5 linked regions of the Nothobranchius furzeri genome follow. The protein of the gene in region 1 interacts with the protein of each later gene in a pairwise test. Links are inferred from orthologs where the notes say so. Each region holds a gene or a part of one and is shown on either strand. Other genes may lie near its edges. The genes, in order: cdc73, hsf2bp, tfcp2, fibronectin type III and SPRY domain-containing protein 2 and alas1.

Region 1 (3,519 bases):
AAACGGGGCTTGTACTTGATCCCACAGCGCCCTGGTCTGTGTTGGGACTTATAAACATGGTCTCCATGAACAGCTGTGACATGGCTGAGAATCTACTTCTTCTAAGACATTTAATCTAGACTAGATGTTTACCAATATGTTTGATCAGAACAAATCTGTTTCTTCATACTGAGGTTGTTGCTGATGAAGCTGTTTTCACACAGATTCTAACTCATTCAAGCAGAAACACAAAAATCTTCCAGGTGCTACTTACAGCTCTCGCCATTGAGATATGACAGTAAGCCCTTTCGATCCGGTCGTCTGACAACAGGAATGTTCTCCGTCTGTAAACAATGTGCACTCATGTAAATATGAGGTGTGCTCAAGACAATTGGCCTGTATTTGATATAGCGCCTTCTAGAGTCCTGGAACCCCCCAAGGCGCTTTACAACACAATCAGTCATTCACCCATTCACACACACATTCACACACTGGTGGGGATGAGCTACGATGTAGCCACAGCTGCCCTGGGGCGCACTGACAGAGGCGAGGCTGCCGAGCACTGGCGCCACCGGTCCCTCCGACCACCACCAGCAGGCAACGTGGGTTAAGTGTCTTGCCCAAGGGCACAACGACAGCAACAGACTAAGCGGGACTCGAACCTGCAACCTTCCGATCACAGGACGAGCACTTAGCTCCTGTGCCACCGTCGCCCCGAGTGTAATAAAACATCATATTTTGTTTTATTTAAGCCAAGAAGGAGAATTCTACTCACTGCAGCTCTCCGCACGTAGGATGGATGTGAAAGATGCACATTGTTGAGTAAGAATAAAATAGAGTCCAGAGTATAGTACTCCTTGGGCTGGCCTTCTTTACCGGTTCTGGTGTCAGAAACACAAAGAAAAAGGAAAACAAATCAGACATTTTCACTTCACCTGATTTACAAACAATTCCCAAGGGCTTCACTACGGAGCCAGACTTCCTACTAGGGTCGGGCGATTTGTATCAATTTTCCCACCGCCAATCGTCAGTCCAAAAAATGACGATGCATGTGACGTCATCAATCAATCAATTAACCAATCAATACTTTATTAATCCCAGGGGGAAATTAGAGTTTCAGTACACACAATTCAGAGATCAGACATACATGGGCAAGACACATGACAAGAATTGGTGACTGTGGTCACTCGCAACCCTGAGTTGCGCTACCTTAATAGAGATAAGAGGGTTACATGAGGATTGGTTCAGGTGGAGGGAAAAAAAGGCACTTCAGAGTTACCCTCCCACCAGGAGGGCAGCTTTGCTCTGCAAAAAAACACCTCAACAAATATGGAACAGATTTCAGACAACACAACATGAGACTCCAACAGGAAGGCGGGGGGGGGGATCCTGTTTCCCTCAGCGAGAGCAGCCATCTACGACGCTCATCTACTGTACAGTCACAGGTGGGAGGGAGATCTTGGGAGAAGCGAAGAGTAAATATTATATTAATAATAATTATTATTATAATTATTTACTGTGGCAGAAGAAAAAATATCACGATATATTGCCACATCGATATTTTCTTACATCCCTATCTGGTAGCAACAGGTCAAACCTAAAATACCGTAAATCCTCTAATACAGGCCCGGGTCTGTATTTGACTCAAGCTCATCAAGCTCCAGGCCTTTATTGGAAGGAGGACCAGTATTAGAGGCAGGCCTCAATTTCTATTTGAGCAAAATGAGCTAATGGTTCGCTGGAGTTTTAGACAATTAAAATTGCGCCCACATTTTCAAAGTTAAACACATTTCTTTTGACAACGGTAGTTTCGGCTTCAGCCCTCTCCCCCCTCCCCCTGCTCAGCGGCCGCAAACTCACTGATGCGCCTGCAGCCTCTCGGAGTTCCTGCTGCTCTAAACATTAAAATAATTATTTCATTTTCTGTTCCTTACTTCTGATTACCTTCAATGGTGTCTGTTTGTTGCAACCACCAGGTACAAAAACTAACTTGTTTTTATTTGACTATTTTTCTGTCCTGCCTGTTTATTATCTTCCTGCATCTCCTCTCAATCCTAAAGAAAAACTGCTACCTGGGTTCATATATATTCACCTCATGAGTTACCTTTGAACTGCAGTTCTAAAAGATCTACAGACCGCAAAAACAGCGGAGTGCACGCCGGCTACATCAGTTAGGTCACCGAGGACAAAACAGGTGATGCGCCCCGATCCACAGCAGCGAAACGCATCAGGCACAAATAAAAGAATAAAAGACAGAAAACATAAAAGGAAATGAGCCGACATGAACGATCGCGTGTTAAATTAGTTTTTGAGGTGGCGACACCTGATTTGATAATGTTACTGTGGCTGTGCTCAGGACGCAGATGTCTGGAGCGCGTCAACAATCAGAGCTTTGCATGCGCAAGCTGGTTAAGGTTAGGATGGGGGTGAGGGGAATGTTAAATTGCAAGAGGGTAAAGGTCACAATTTGGTTAAATGTCTGTTTTACGGCGGGTGTCGGTACCGACGCTCTGACACAGCGCGTTGCCTCCAGACGCGCAGGAGCTTGTCACCTGCTGACAGCAGGCTGCTGTCTTTTCCGTGGACTGCATCTTGCCGGTCATTATCACGTGACAGCGACTAGTCGATGACAGGCATAACAAGTCACTATAGAGCGGTGAAGTCGACTAGTGACTAGTTCATACAACCCCTACTGCTCCCCAGAGTGTTCTGCAGCATAATCAGCACGTTCTCTTTGAACTTGATATCAAATTTTCGCCTCCTCTTCGTCTCCGCACGGTTAAAGTTACCCTCGCGGTCTATCGCTGGCAAATCAAAAATGAGACGGATGACACAACCGTCCCCCGTACTTGCTTGTTACCACATTCCACCTGGCCACAATAAAAAACCGTCCATTATTCACCTCCGCCGACTCCGGCCAAAATGTGATACCCAGCAGTTAATTAAATACAGGCTAATATTAGAGGATTTACGGTATGCTAAAAATCGCAGTTTTTAAAAACATGTCAACTTTTTTTTGTGTTATTAATGTCTGTTGTCCTTCGGGAATGCTGTAGGAGGACACACAGGGATTTATGGGAATTGGATGAGGAAAACGAAAGGAAGAAAGTAAATCAGTGTTTTGTGATCAGTTTAAATTGACATGATCACGACAAACACACTTTGACAATCCTTGCCATTGTGTGTGTAAAAACAAAGTGTAGAATAGGGCTGCAACAACGAATCGATAAATTCGATGAAAATCGATTAACAAAAGCGTTGGCAACGAATTGCGTCATCGATTCGTTGTGTTGCGCAACTCTTCCAAAAGCCCCCTCCCCTCCCGCCCGCCGTTGCGCGCAGACCGGTGGAGAGCCGGCAGGTGTTTGCAAGAGGAACATGGCAGAAGCAGCGAGACCCCAAAAAAGTAAAAACTTCTAAAGTTTGGGAGCATTTTCAGTTAAATCAGGCGAAGACATGCAACGTTTGTAGGTCAGACTTAGCATGGCACGGGGATACTACGGTGATGATGCAGCGTCTTAAACGCAAGCATGTCAGAAT
Region 2 (2,472 bases), on another chromosome or scaffold:
ATTATGTTAACTATTGATCAGTTACTTTTACTTTTATAAATAATCATCGTTGTTGACTATGTTATGCACCAGACACTACTTTTATGCTCATTTCCTTTAAGGTCCCACCACCACCTCGCTTGAAGCTGAGATGAGATACTTGCTCTGACTGGTGTCCACCAACATATTGGTAAAATCTTCACTTCGGTCCAATGTGTCCAAAGGACATTGCTCCTGAAGTCATTCAGAAGCAAATTCCTGCTATCAAGTAGTTTTTGAAACCAGAGGATTTCTCCTGCAACCCATCCAAACAAATATCCTTGTTCAGTCTCTTTCCAGTTGTCCTGCCATGAACTTTAACCTGGAAACTCAGGCCTGAGATGGAGCTCTTTTTTTCATTTCTCTGAGTACGGCAGTCTGAATTGGATGTCCACAAGGATTGGCTGTTGTCCTAAATGTTTTTTCAGACGATATCTTTCCACGCTGGCAACACAGAACAAACACAAAATCGACAAAGTTCCAACACGAAGCTATGAGAGTGTGAACATCATCTTTAATATTTTAAAATCTAACAGTATCACAACATTCGTATTAAAATAAAACACTTTAATAGCTAAGACACGAGTCTCTTCTTTTGTTGTCTTTGCAAAATATGAACATGTGTAGAGAGATATGTTCTCTTCACCATGGCAACACAGAAACCTAACATGAAGGGGCTCTAACTGGTAGAAGACCGGACCCGGTTCTGTTGACCTCACCAGGTCCAGAACCAGAAGTAATTAGATCAAGTCTGCTCATTGGGAGCGGTGTGCCAGCTGAAGGGCCTGCAGGTCCTCAAGAGTCTGCTGAGCTGTGGCTCTAAGGCTGGGCTGAACACTGGAAGTGAGCTGGCTGACGCGAGCCTGGAGCTCTGGATCCAGCAGAAAAGAGCCCAGGGGGAGCAGCATGTCCTCCTCTAGAAGCACTGACTGCAGGAGGCGCAGACAGTGGAGGCACACCTCCCAGTGTCCATCTGACAGATAAAAACCCTAATTTAGTCTGAAGCAGAGATCTAATACAAACCTACTGACTTTACCAATAAATATATGTTCAGGTGCTTATTTAAATAATATCAAACTGATGGAACACTTCCTGTTTTCAAACACATCAAATTTAACTGTTTATCTTGTTTTCATCACGTGGACGTGTGTAACAACGGCTCCTCACCTTCAAGCAGGGTCCAGATAAGCTGAACGAGTCGTTTGTTCTCACTGATGTACTTCAGTCCTCTAATGCTGATGCTGACATTATACAAGATCATCAGCATCAACCTGCAGCAAAGCCACAATATTACTCTGTGCCAACAGTAGAGGGGCTGCTACATGCATTAGTATGGTTTATTCAGAATAACACCAGGGACTAAAGCCGATATACACGAGTCACAGATTATAGTTAAGTTACTAAAGATATAGGTTCTAATAGTCAGGAAATACTTACAAGTGTTGTTGAAATGCATTTGAAGCTCGTTAAAATCATGTTAAACTGAAAACAGGGTGCATCTGCCAGGACTCTTTAGCTAATTAAACTAAATATATTATAAATATATAATACAGCCCAAAGGTTTGGACACACCTTCTCATTCAATGTGTTTTCTTTATTTTCATGACCATTTACATCAGTAGATTCTCACTGAAGGCATCAAAATTAATTGAACACATGTGGAGTTATGTACTTAACCAAAAAAGGTGAAATTACTGAAAACATGTTTTCTATTCTATTTTCTTCAAGATAGCCACCCTTTGCTCTGATTACTGCTTTGCACACTCTTGGCATTCTCTTAATGAGCTTCAAGATGTAGTCACCTGACATGGTTTTCCAACTATACATATATATATATATATATATATATATATATATATATATATATATATATATATATATATATATATATATATATATATATATATATATATATATATATATGGGGGTGATGGAACACTTCCTATGTATGTATGGATGGATGGATGGATGGATGGATGGATGTATGGATGGATGGAATTAAGAACACTTCATTTCAAGGACCACATTAGGATAAAACATGAGACAACTTTGTATTTGCTGTATTCTAGCTAGCAGCCAGCTAGACAGATTCATGGTTTCCTCATCATATCCACTTACCCTCTTTGTAAATGATTGAGAGCTTATCTTCTACAACCTTCCCATCAACATTTCAATCACTATATAAATATAATCCATTTTATTAACAGAATATAAAACCCAGTCTGACAACAGATTTGGCCTCTGGAGAACAACACTTGAGTCCGCTCACTGCCCTCTCCTCACACCTGAGAATAAATACTGTAACCAGGAAATTTTACCACTTAACCATTCAAACTGATCAATTATCCTGACAATTCCAACACATAAAAATCAATAATACAGAATCACAGTTAAGAAGAATAAGCTGCGGTTGTCACGGTCTGGGGTGGTTTCTCCTCACTAATCTGTGCTGAG
Region 3 (4,157 bases), on another chromosome or scaffold:
CCACATAGCTCTACCTTGTGGAATAATAGAACCATTGTAATTAATAGGAAGACTATATTCAAAAAAGAATGGTATGACAAAAACATTTTACATGTGACAGATTTGATAGATAAAAATGGCAATTTGTTACAATTTGAATGTTTTGTCGAAAAATTTAATTTTAAAATTTAATAATCAAATCAGTAGAGCTGTTCCACTTCCTTTAAAATTCATGATTAAAAATACCTTGCTTAATTCGAATGTGGTGATTAAACTTCCTGAGTTGAAAATTGGCAAATTTAAATTAGGTGAACAAAAATGTAATAACAAAGTACTTGGAAGTATGTTAAAAATAAGTTATTCTATGATATTGAAAAATCAACAACAATAAAAATCACAGGAAAGGAAACTACATTAACAAAGCCATAGTGCAGCTATCTTAAATGGCCAATTGCACCCAAGTTGAAAGAAATTAAATTCAAAATAATACATAATATCTATCCTGCTGCCGAAACATTAAGAAAAAAGATTTAATTTTGAAGGGAATCAGTGTGTCTTTTGTATGACAGAATGTGAAACTATTGAGCACATTTTCTTCTCGTGTTCAGTAACAATTGGTTTTTGGGAGGATGTTTATCGATTATTAAATATTGAGAGAAATGATGTGTGGCTTAACAAATCTAAAGTGTTGATATACATGGATGCTCTTCCAAAAAAGATATCCAAAATGGTGAACATTATTTTCAACATGGGAAAATACCATATACATAAAACTGAATGGAAAAACAGCAAGTCTAACATTAACCATTTTAAAAATGAAATAAAACAATTTAAAACATCTCTAAAAGTATTATCAGAAAATAGCCAATCTATAACTGAGTTGTACGAAACAATGTCTGAGTTTCTTGTTGTTTAAATTACAGTCCAATGAATCAAACATGTTTGAAATATAATGTTGAAATATCAACCTCTGAACATTTTTTTGTTTGTTGATATGTTATTTTTATTTTAATTATTATTATCTTGCATCATAATTTATTTTATGGTATAGTGTCATGTGGTAATTGTTGCAAGTTCTAAATGAAATTTTTATTTTCCTCAAGTGAGGTCATTTGTATTTTCTATATTCTTCAGTACGTTGAATGTAGGTTACATTGTAAACTGAATGTATGTGAAATCGCAGATTGAAAATAAGGTAAAAAAAAAAATTAAATAAAAAAAAATTAATAATAAAACATACAAAAAAACCACTGGTAGGTGGCAGTAATGAGCACTTCCGGTTTAGATCGCGACGAAGAAGAGTGAAAACCGGAAATTACTGTTTCTCCCTTTCGACGAAGCTTAATAAACAAAACGAAGCAATATATAGCGAATATAAAGATCTGTCTTGGGCTTTGGGTCCATAGCTACGTTACGTAGAGAATAAATGGTTTGAATAAAACCCTGAAACTGTAGTAAAGTAAATACGGACTAGCATCCTCTGTACCCAAGCCGTTAGCTAGAGATGTTTATTTTAGTTCTTTCGGCCAAATAGCGCGCGACATGATGGCATGAAACCGCGGCGCTGTTACGACAGAAAAACTCATCTTCTAAAGGTAAGCTTGAATATCTAATCGGAGCACGTTAGTAACAAAAACGTTACTAAAAATCTGCATACATTTTTACACAAGTTCGCTGAATTTTAAGATGGGAGATAAAAAACGTGTTTATTGTAAAACCCATTTCCGACCGCTCTTAGTTAATCAACTTAACTAGTTTCTGTCTGAAATTTATTTTACTGAGTAAAACGAAACTTTTTTACGGTGTTGGTGTCGGGGTTCACTTGTGAGTAATCTTTCTTTCCCCCCACCTTGCCCTCGAGTCCTCTGAAGGTTGTGAGGAGCAGGTGAGCAGCGGTACTCGGTAAAACCTCCACAGCGTCACCGTCATGGCGTGGGCTCTGAAGCTGCCCCTCACGGATGAGGTGATCGAGTCCGGGCTGGCCCAAGACTTTGATGCCAGTCTCTCTGGTATCGGCCAGGAACTTGGTGCCGGAGCCTACAGTATGAGGTACACCCTGAGTTTGTTGTTTCTCCTTGTGGAGGGAATTAACGTGCGCTCTGCTAATCTGGATGCTCTAACTAAATTTTAGCCTATTAATTTATTGCCATTGTTGATATCAAGTGAATAATAAAAATCTTTCAGGTTAACGTGTAGGTTTTTGCATTCTTTCTGACATTTACTTGTTTGTGTAAGCTTTAGTCCATACGTTTAGGATTGAAATGGATTCTTCAGCTGTACGTTTGAATATCAGCCTTCTCTTACCCTGACTCTGACCTTTACTTTTGTGTTGAGCTCTTTTTCTTTGTGCCACTGGACAATATTTTTAGACGAGGGGCATCTTAAAACCTGGATCAGCTAAAATTGCTCACACATTATTAAATTGCTATGAATCACAGATGTGCACATACATCTACAGAACAAATGAATAGCTGTACGCGTTCACTGTTTGGTTCGATTACGATGGAACTGATTTATTCTAACTGCAGGATCTCTCAAAACATTAGCAAAGCTGATGATGTGGTGTATCTTATGTTTATGAGAGTGAATTAACTCCTTTTCTGGAGACAGATGTGTTTTTTGTGGTTTATTAAGAGCTATGAAACGTGTCTGGTCACTGGAGAAATTCCTGTGTTGAGGGGAGCTCTGACATGAGCACTGGAGACATTGGTATTTAGTTGTATTCCCTCCATTATAGTGAATGAGCAGCACAGTGTGTTGTGTTAGTGAAGGTCATCAAACAAGCAGAAAAAGGGGGATTTGGTTGTCTAAAGCTTTCTTGAATTTAAAGAGTTGAATGTTTCTCACTGAAGTGAAAAGATTTTAGCAGCTCACAGGCAGCACTTTTTTTACTGCTCTCTTCTCCAGCGACGTGCTCGCCCTCCCCATTTTCAAGCAGGAAGAATCCAACTTGCCTCCAGATTCTGAAAACAAGATCCTCCCTTTTCAGTATGTTCTGTGTGCACCTACCTCACCTGCTATTAAGCTACACGATGAAACCCTCACCTACCTCAACCAAGGTCAGTATCAGGATCCTCACCTTGCTACGTTTTTTTGACTTTGTGTAAAGTCAAGGTCCAAGAGAGGAGAGGTTCAGATCCTCACATGTCATTCTGTTTAGGATTGATCAGACAATTAAATCAACTTATTTCTTTTTTTTTCTTGCCTGAATGGATTTATGTAAAATTTTGTTTCCCTTTGATTTAAGTTAGTTTTAACAGTGAAACAATAAACTGAAAGTAATAGAAACTGGCTTTAATGTATATGAGCAAAGCAGTCAGTAAGTTAGAATAGAGCATCTGAATGTTTACCACATTATTCTTTTTACAGATTATGTTCTTTTATAAATAGCTATGTAGTTGTGCTTGATAACATAAAGATGCATGCCTTGCATGACTGAGGAGTGTGTCCGCGGTGTGTGACGGCCCTCTTGGAGGCGGGATCTTAATTTGAAGTTGTTTCTCTCTGCTAATGCAGGGCAGTCCTATGAAATAAGAATGCTTGACAATCAGAAAATTGGGGAACTTCCTGAAATCACTGGTAAAATGGTCAAGGTGGGAGTTATTTCAGTGTGTTTCTGTTGTTTAATGATTGCTGGACTAAATCATGTATATCACATATGTGTGTATACTCGTTTCAGAGTATTATCCGCGTGGTGTTTCACGATCGGCGGCTTCAGTACACGGAGCACCAGCAGCTGGAGGGCTGGCGCTGGAACAGGCCTGGAGACCGGATCCTTGACCTGGGTGAGCCCCGTGGAGAAAACGGCCGTTTTCATCTGGACTTTTAAAAGAATGATCTGCACGTTCACCATTGGCTGGTTTTATGATAAAAGCATGTTTATTAACAACATTGGTGATAAATTTGGTGCTCAAACAAGAACTTTTGGATCATTGCAGATATCCCCATGTCAGTGGGTATGATCGACCCCAGGGCCAACCCCACTCAGCTAAACACTGTGGAGTTCCTCTGGGATCCCTCAAAGAGAACCTCTGTTTTTATCCAGGTAGCATCAAAGTTGCAACTTTACTTTACTTTCTAACGCTTCCTTCTCTGGACTTCTGATTGATTTTAGTCTTTTAAAGGTAACTTAGTGAGTTTAACCAATTTAGTGCTGTTTTGGGAATAGTCTGGTCCAA
Region 4 (3,633 bases), on another chromosome or scaffold:
TCAACCTCGGTGTGCATTTATTTGCAAACAACTCATTTTGCAGTCGCTTTTCATTTGACAGTGTTGCAGGTGACGTTTTTAGAAAACTCAAATCATCTTCTTTTTTTTTCTAATTTGTCTTATGTTCATCATTGTTGAAGCTTCACTTTTTCTTTGTTTTTATCTGACCCTAAATTATGCCCAAATTCTCTTTAGACTAGGAGAGAAAAAGCTTTATAAGCACATCAGCGGACACTTTAATTATGGAAGTACAGGGTGGACTTTTCCCGTTTCAACATGTGAATTCAGATGTAAATTACCAAACTTTTTTCTTTTTCTTTTTCTATTCATCTTTTGTTACTTAAAAGGCCCTTTTTAAGTCCCATCCCATCTTGCTGCAACAGATGGTTTAAATACATATAAAATCCAGTTAAATCTTTTCTTATCTTGGAAAATGGTGTATGCCTGTTCCCATGGAATACTATAATAAAACGCCTAAAACTGTCTCTACTGATTCATTTGAGTTGGGAGTTTACCAAATGTGTTTAAACATTGTTTAATAACATTCATAATGGTCAACATCAGAAACATTCGTTTAGCGCGTTTATTTTTTCCCCCGTATGTTGGGAAGAGACGCTTTCTATTAGATGAGTGTGTACTCGGGAGCTTGGATGCCGTTGTGGACCGTGAGTGCTCCTGGGCTGTCCAGGCTAAAACAAGGGTGGACATAGTTTTGAAAGTGACAGTGGAAGGTGTGCAAATGTTGCCCCAGGTTTGCATTGAAGAATGATAGCGTTCCCCCGTCGTAGTCGAGAGCCACTCCGATGCGTGCTGGGTACACGGTGATCCTCAAGTCCGGACTCTGGCCGTTGTGTAGAAACTCATATTTATGCCTTCACAGAAAGAGCCACATTACTATGAGTTTGTTAGTATAAACAGTGTTTAAACAACTCATGGTTGGTTGCCAATAGGAAAGCAGATGCAGACTTATGTGCAAGCAAGATTGTAACTGGCTGCAGATGAAACAAAATGAACAAGACTTAAAATCTGTGAAGGAAGGATTAAAAAGATGCTCACAATAGAATTACATTTGGGGTTTGTGGGACACACTGCTTCAAGTTAAGTCTTAAAAACATCCAGCTTTGCTCCCAAAAATGGTTGCTATAGAAACACTTGGAAGTAACATTTAATGCAGGATATTTCTTTCCTTTAGTGGACTTAGTCTTGCAGAGAGCAGCCTTCTCTCTTTTTTTTGTGAATGATAAATGTTCTAAAATGGGTGTCAAACTCAAATTCACACGGGGCTGAAATGAAACTGGGACGGAGTCGAGGGCCAAACTTAATATTTTTTGAAAAAGTGACGGCAAATTTGCACATTTTCTTTATCAACATATATGCAATTGTGAACCTTTTAATTTAGAAACAAACTTATTTCTGCATTAACACTGAATGTGGAATAACCAAATTACAAACGAGCAAGTCAGTTTTAAATAAAATACATCAGTGGTATTCATTACTTGTGGTATAATCAGCATTTTAAAAATCTATTCAGGATTTATGTTTTCTTGTTTATTCATTTTTCTTGTGTTTTATTCTCCTTTTTTCTCCTGTAATAAGTTTCATCGCTGCTGTGACGTCTAGCTTTCCCCACTGAGGAACAATAAAGGGATTTTCACGGGCCAACAACAAAATAAAACTCATTTTATCTTAAATGAAAATGCAACATCTCACCTGTTAACTTTCATGTTTTGGAGCAGAAAAAGAGCATAAAACCAACATATTTAAAGCTCAGTTTGCTCCGCTGGTTTACTGTGATGCTCACCTGTTCCAGCCAGATACCTGCATCATGGGGTTGATCTGAGCTGAGGAGGAGACTCCTGTTTTTTTGTTCATCTTCATCATAATAATGACAACATTAGATGACAACAGGTGCTCACATAGGTTTGTGCTGCTGAACATGGAGAGCGTCTGAGCAGCTTTACCACGTTATGTGTCGGGGAGGAAAAATAAAAACTACAGCAGTTATATCAGCTCTGGAAGTTAGTTGGTAAACTTTCTCTTTCAGTCGTGAACACATTACTGAGTGGTTAAAATCTCTGTTTCTGGGCTTCAATGTTGGCAAATAGCTGAGTAAACTCGGCTCTGAGTGAGAGGAGTGTTTACTTTATCCGTGACAGCGGAGCTGCAGACGTTGGAAAAAACACAAAGGAGGGGGCGCTTCAGCTCCGTGCTAACGCCGCAAAACATCATGGGAGTTATAGTCTTTTAGGTAAAATTGGCCAGCGGGTCAATTTTAATATATTTTTGAAATTTATCTTGCGGGCCACATAAAAATGCGCCTTGTGTCTGACACGTGTCCTAAAAGCTAAAAATACAGTCTGCCTAGTTTCTCAGATCTGCACTAACTTGTTTTTCAGAGAACCAGCGTGTTCATTTTGGATTTTAGCTGGTCAAAATCCACGTGCTTTGTTGGAAATCAGATTTCTGTCACTAGCAAAGGATTCAATCATCTCAGTGGCAAACCAAACCTACCTAAAACATTTTTATTTATCTCAAATTTGAAGGTTGGAGATGAGCAGGAAGAGTGTCTTTTCCAGAATGACTCATAACCAGAGACTGTGCACCACATTCAGTGTTTAAAGCAGAGACCGACCGATGTGTTTTTTAAGGCCAATACCGATTTTTTTTAAAGAATTTTGTTGCAGATGGTCGACTATATATATGTATATATATATATATATATATATATATATATATATATGTGTGTGTGTGTGTGTGTATATATATATATATATATATATATATATATATATATATACACACACACACACACACACACATATATATATATATATATATATATATATATATGTGTGTGTGTGTGTGTGTGTGTATATATATATATATATATATATATATACACACACACACACACACACACATACATGTTTTAGCAGCACATTGATTGTGAAGAAGTTACCACTCACTGTGCAATTTAAATTACACAAGTCAATAAATCTCTTAATATTTATTGAACTTCAAATATAAAACACTTAAATGGTGTGTTGGGGTCCTTCGGGCAGTGGCGGATTTAGCAATTTGGGGGCCCAAGGCGAACACAGACATGGGGCCCTTTACACAAAATTTTTGACAATCTTACCTTTAACTAGATTTGCAAAACTCCCCTCTTCTGACATGAGTTATTTTCCCTTTTTATTAGTCCTCCTCTTTTTTCCTGTACTTCTCTCCCTTTGAGCGCTTTCAATATTTGCTCTGCTTTCTTCTTCCTGTCAGTGCTCCTGTGCTTTAGCCTTAGTTATTTTTTTTTTCTATTTTCCATTTTGGTCTGTGTTTTCCTCCCTTTAAACATTTTCCATTGTCTTTCCTTTTCTGCTTCCTGATGTTTACATCGAAAAACGACGCCACTTTCAGAAGAGAAAATAAAAGCTTTTATGAAGCAAGCTGCTGCTTTCTCTTATTGGAGCCACTAGGATAACTCAGTTTCATGCTTAATGTTTTGACTATTGCTTTGAATTTCTTACGAGCACTCCCGCCTCTCTTCTTATTATTTGTGGTCTTATGCCACTTGGCAAACAACAATTTGGTGCATTACCGCCACCAACTGGATTGGAGTTGAATGACTACCAATCACTT
Region 5 (4,168 bases), on another chromosome or scaffold:
TATAAGTGGAGGTTAGCCAATGGACGATGTGCGATGGTGATTTTGGCCGATTTCTACACATATTCCTCCTCTTTTGAAAACGTTTCAAATTGTGTAAAGGAAATGTTAACTACACCTACTCGAATAAATAAACTCTATGCTCATATAACAACAATTCATGGAAAATACCACAAATGAGCACCGACAGTTTGAAATTGTGACTCTCAATATTAATAAAATAAACAAATCTGTATAATGTGCAGTAATATTTGGGAACATGACAGGAAAAGACGTCACACCTTCAAAACATTAAAAGGTGTTACTCTAATAAGGCGGTGGTAAACTGAAGGTCAGAATTGTTTTCAGGTGTATTTATTAGTTTTGACTAGGCTGACTGATCAGCGTGGGACACCTGAATGTTTCTGGTCTCAAAAGCACCACTAGAACACCGAACGCTGATCAAGTCGGTCGTAACAGCGCCACAAAAATAAAAATGATTAGACAATGAGATGCGTGGTGCCCTGCTCCATGAGCTCGGTTTGGTTCGCCAATTTGACAAAAATGTTTTAAACCCTGATGTGTTGGTAGAATGATATATTGGTCTATCCCCAATGCTAACTAATACTTTATTACTTACATGATGGATTGAGCAACTCGAGGGTGTCGACTCATGCCCAGGTAGTCGTTGCTGCACCAAACAGACACCTCCCGTTTCTCCTCCAGAGAGCCAGTGAAGTCATCAGCCATCGGGAATTCGGTGGCCAAGCGGTTCACAGTTTTAAACACACGATATGTGTGGTCGCTCTTCTTCTCTTCAATCTTCTTCTCAAAAAAATCATCATACTCGAAGCGGGACACTGTGACAGGACAGGAAGGTGAAACATGCTCAACTTTGTTGCAACAGAAAGTTGATCAATAAGGAAACTGGATAATACGCAAGACTTGGCCTGCAAAAAAAAAAAACAAAAAAAAAAACACCATACTTCTGCCGAACAAGTTGTCCTGCAGCAGGTGGGTGACCCTCTTTGGACGCTGCTTTAGGAGAGTCTTCATCAAATTCCTTTGCTCCTCAGCTTTACTGGTACTGGTCAAGGATGGCTGCTTCACCTGGGCAGGTGACACCTCTGAACATAAAAAGAACAGTGTTAATACACAGCCTGTTGAACTAAAATGTTATAAATAAATACCAGAAGTTACCTTTCTGGACAGTGCGTACTTCCTCTACATCCTCTTGGAACTCCATGGTAACCTGGCGGACCACACCGCTGTACTTCTGGTTCATTTCAGCAGTCAGGAAAGGACATTTGGAGGCCACCACTTGACCTGCAGGAGCCACGGGATGACCAGCAGGCAGCTTAGGCTCCACTTCCTGTTTAGGGGCTGCAGGTGGAAAAATGTGTACATGTACAGATAACCCTCTCAGGCTCAAAATAAGTTTTGATAAAAGGACAAACAACTAAGTCATTCACGGGTACTTCTGAGCTAAAAAATGCTCATGAAATATGTATGTGAAGTAACCAGGTAGGTAGGTTTTAACTGTTGCAAATCCGCAACGCCTGCCTCCAGCGGGTTAAAAACCAGCATGCTACACAGCTGTACATTTGTTTTTCAAATAGAGAATTTAAACATTTGTCCTTTATCACACTCACCATCAGTTGCAACCTTGGTGTCAGTCTGATGATAAGAAGTTGAAGAGCAAAGTGCTCGAGCCATTGAAGGGGCCATGGGTTTCGAAGCCAGCTCCATCATGATGGGGCAGCGTTGAGCATAAGTGACCAGAGACTTTTTGGATTGTTGGAAGAAGGCCTGAGGCATACCAGCCAAGAACGGGCAACGGCGTATGATCACATCCATTATGAGAAGTGGTGTGCTTGTTAAAAGAGCTAGAAGAAATAAAACAATAATATATTAAATATTAGTTAGCTCAATAGCCAATATAGGTCACACTATCTAAAAATGGAGTTCTGGAAATAGTCGTATACATGGGCCTTGTTCTGTAAAATATAAGTCACACTACTGTCAAGGTCTTTGATAAACCTTTGACGTCAAATTAAGGTTTGTTTTGTCTTAAAAACCAGAAACCTTTCATGTTAAAACTCTAAATGACCATGTCAAGAATTAAAAATACCCATGAAAAAGGATCTGTGTTGCACCTTCACACCTAGGAAAATAATCACTTGCCAGTCACCTCTTTCTTTACTCATTCTAACAAGTGTCTGTGTACTTACAAAACAAAGGGGAAAGTTTTACACAATTCCTAAAAACCCTTCCTCTCCCAGGGACTCCTTCCCAGTTGATGTCAGATTTCCACATTCCAGGACAAAGTCCAAAACTTGTGTACAGTTTCATCCAAAAGATAAAGTTTATAAGGCTAATAAAATGTTTGTAAATAGATAGAAATATCAATTTATAGACTACATTAAGAGTGAAAGCTGGTAAAATCTCGTGGTTTTACTCAGAAACCCGTTCGCAACCTGAAATAAATATAATTTGTGTTAAATATAGTTACATTACTGCCATGTAAAGTACCTGGTGTTAACAAAATAATAATAACTTTTGAACGTAATGCTTTTAGAAAGCATAAAGTTGAATCATATTTAAAGATCTTCCTGTGCTCTCTGAAGGTTGACCTCGCTCAATGTTAGCTAAAATGCTAAAGCCGCCGCCTATGAGGTTAGAACATTAATAAACCTACCTTTAAAATTAACACCAGGTCGTATAATCCTGCTATGCCGTGTGATGAACAAGATAAAAACAAGGTCGTTCCACAGATGTGACCTGAAAATAATGTACTTGTTTTCCTTATAGAGAGTAGATTGTCAGTGCTTCGTTATCCTGCACTGAGGACGAACGAAAAGGACGGCGACGTTCCAGGGTTTATAATACCTCACACTCCCACCGACCCCTACGTCATATTCTCGCGAGATTATTTTCTTGTAATCCATTGATGTAGTATATTGATAACGTATATAAAATATAGATAGTGTAGTAAATAGTAACAAATATAGATATAAATAGTAAATATAGATATAGTAATTTTCAATAAAGTTGAAAAATACATTTATCCTACCCTCATGATATATTAATACTGCCACTAAGCTATTGTTATAACCACACACTAAGTTTTGAAGCAATGGTTTGGAATTATTTTTTTATTTTTATTTTTATTTTTGTTTTTAAACGTGCCCCTCCAGCAAGGCAACCTTCCCTGTATTTTCCTTATTGTTGAAAATTTTAAGTAGGCAATACAGTTTAATTATCACAGTACCCAATTATCACCAGTCTTTTGGCTCTAGAAACGTTATAATGTTCACCGTAATTATCCAAAAGGCTGTTCATATCACCAGGCCATCATTATCAAAACATTGTTTAAACAGTGATTTTTTTGTTTTGTTTCCAAAGATGTCAGATAACATGGAGATATACAATTACAATTATGTTTATATAGTTTTAGTTTGTTGCAAAATACAACTTGTTAAATTTAAGTGGTTTTATGATTCAGCTTGCTTTCATAATAACAGTCATGTAGTATTTTAATCAAAAACAGTACCTGAATCTGAATATTTTAGTATTATTTTGTCTGTCTTATCCAGTATTGATTTCATGTCCAACAACTGATATATAACCATTTAGAAACACTGGTGAAAGTTAATCACTATCGTAAAAGAGCTACTTTTTGGAGGTTAAAATGAAATTTACATGTAAAGCAAATCATAGTTGCCACTGCTATTTGACTAGGACCACCAATTTATATTTGATGGTGACCTCACACCAACTTTACTTCAGTGCTTTGCACTCATTGAATAAATTTCACATTTGTGAGGACAAACACACACACACACACACACACACACACACACACACACACACACACACACACACACACACACACACACACACACACACGTGGCAAGCAAGAAATAGCGGTATAAATAAATTAAGGATAAGAATATTGTAACAACACCACCCTGGGTTTTTGTGACCTTTTTTAAAAAAATCGGTTTTAAAAAGAAATAAACGTTAGCTGATTATATATTTTAATTTACTTTTGCCTCACCTGAAGTGTGGTAATATTTACTGTGCTCTGCTGCCCCCTCCAGTTCTTCTTAAGCCGTTACACATGAATTGTAAAAATTGTTTCTCTGAGTCAGAAATTAGATCGAGTCATAATGGCTGATTCCTGCTAAGG

What was found.
Region 2: the proteins of cdc73 (region 1) and hsf2bp interact in binary tests that used the Homo sapiens proteins (3 or more experiments, as listed by UniProt). The link is inferred for Nothobranchius furzeri from reciprocal best matches to the Homo sapiens genes CDC73 and HSF2BP.
Region 3: the proteins of cdc73 (region 1) and tfcp2 interact in binary tests that used the Homo sapiens proteins (3 or more experiments, as listed by UniProt). The two-hybrid records come from large-scale screens. The link is inferred for Nothobranchius furzeri from reciprocal best matches to the Homo sapiens genes CDC73 and TFCP2.
Region 4: the proteins of cdc73 (region 1) and fibronectin type III and SPRY domain-containing protein 2 interact in binary tests that used the Homo sapiens proteins (3 or more experiments, as listed by UniProt). The two-hybrid records come from large-scale screens. The link is inferred for Nothobranchius furzeri from reciprocal best matches to the Homo sapiens genes CDC73 and FSD2.
Region 5: the proteins of cdc73 (region 1) and alas1 interact in a two-hybrid assay, tested with the Homo sapiens proteins (3 studies listed by BioGRID and IntAct). The two-hybrid records come from large-scale screens. The link is inferred for Nothobranchius furzeri from reciprocal best matches to the Homo sapiens genes CDC73 and ALAS1.

The regions. Positions count from the first base shown.
Region 1 is NC_091751.1:69,208,848-69,212,366, reverse strand, and holds part of cdc73 (parafibromin), read right to left. Parts: intron 861-3,519; coding exon 755-860; intron 324-754; coding exon 254-323; intron 1-253.
Region 2 is NC_091743.1:81,539,848-81,542,319, forward strand, and holds the end of hsf2bp (heat shock factor 2-binding protein), read right to left. Parts: intron 1,290-2,472; coding exon 1,186-1,289; intron 992-1,185; coding exon 774-991; 3' UTR 516-773; downstream 1-515. UniProt on the Homo sapiens protein: Meiotic recombination factor component of recombination bridges involved in meiotic double-strand break repair.
Region 3 is NC_091755.1:37,313,282-37,317,438, forward strand, and holds the start of tfcp2 (transcription factor CP2), read left to right. Parts: upstream 1-1,347; 5' UTR 1,348-1,574; intron 1,575-1,840; 5' UTR 1,841-1,906; coding exon 1,907-2,028; intron 2,029-2,886; coding exon 2,887-3,038; intron 3,039-3,495; coding exon 3,496-3,572; intron 3,573-3,658; coding exon 3,659-3,764; intron 3,765-3,917; coding exon 3,918-4,024; intron 4,025-4,157.
Region 4 is NC_091749.1:41,535,970-41,539,602, reverse strand, and holds the end of fibronectin type III and SPRY domain-containing protein 2, read right to left. Parts: intron 873-3,633; coding exon 623-872; 3' UTR 520-622; downstream 1-519.
Region 5 is NC_091743.1:62,457,667-62,461,834, reverse strand, and holds the start of alas1 (5-aminolevulinate synthase, non-specific, mitochondrial), read right to left. Parts: upstream 2,819-4,168; 5' UTR 2,675-2,818; intron 1,863-2,674; 5' UTR 1,834-1,862; coding exon 1,629-1,833; intron 1,360-1,628; coding exon 1,177-1,359; intron 1,104-1,176; coding exon 963-1,103; intron 837-962; coding exon 617-836; intron 1-616.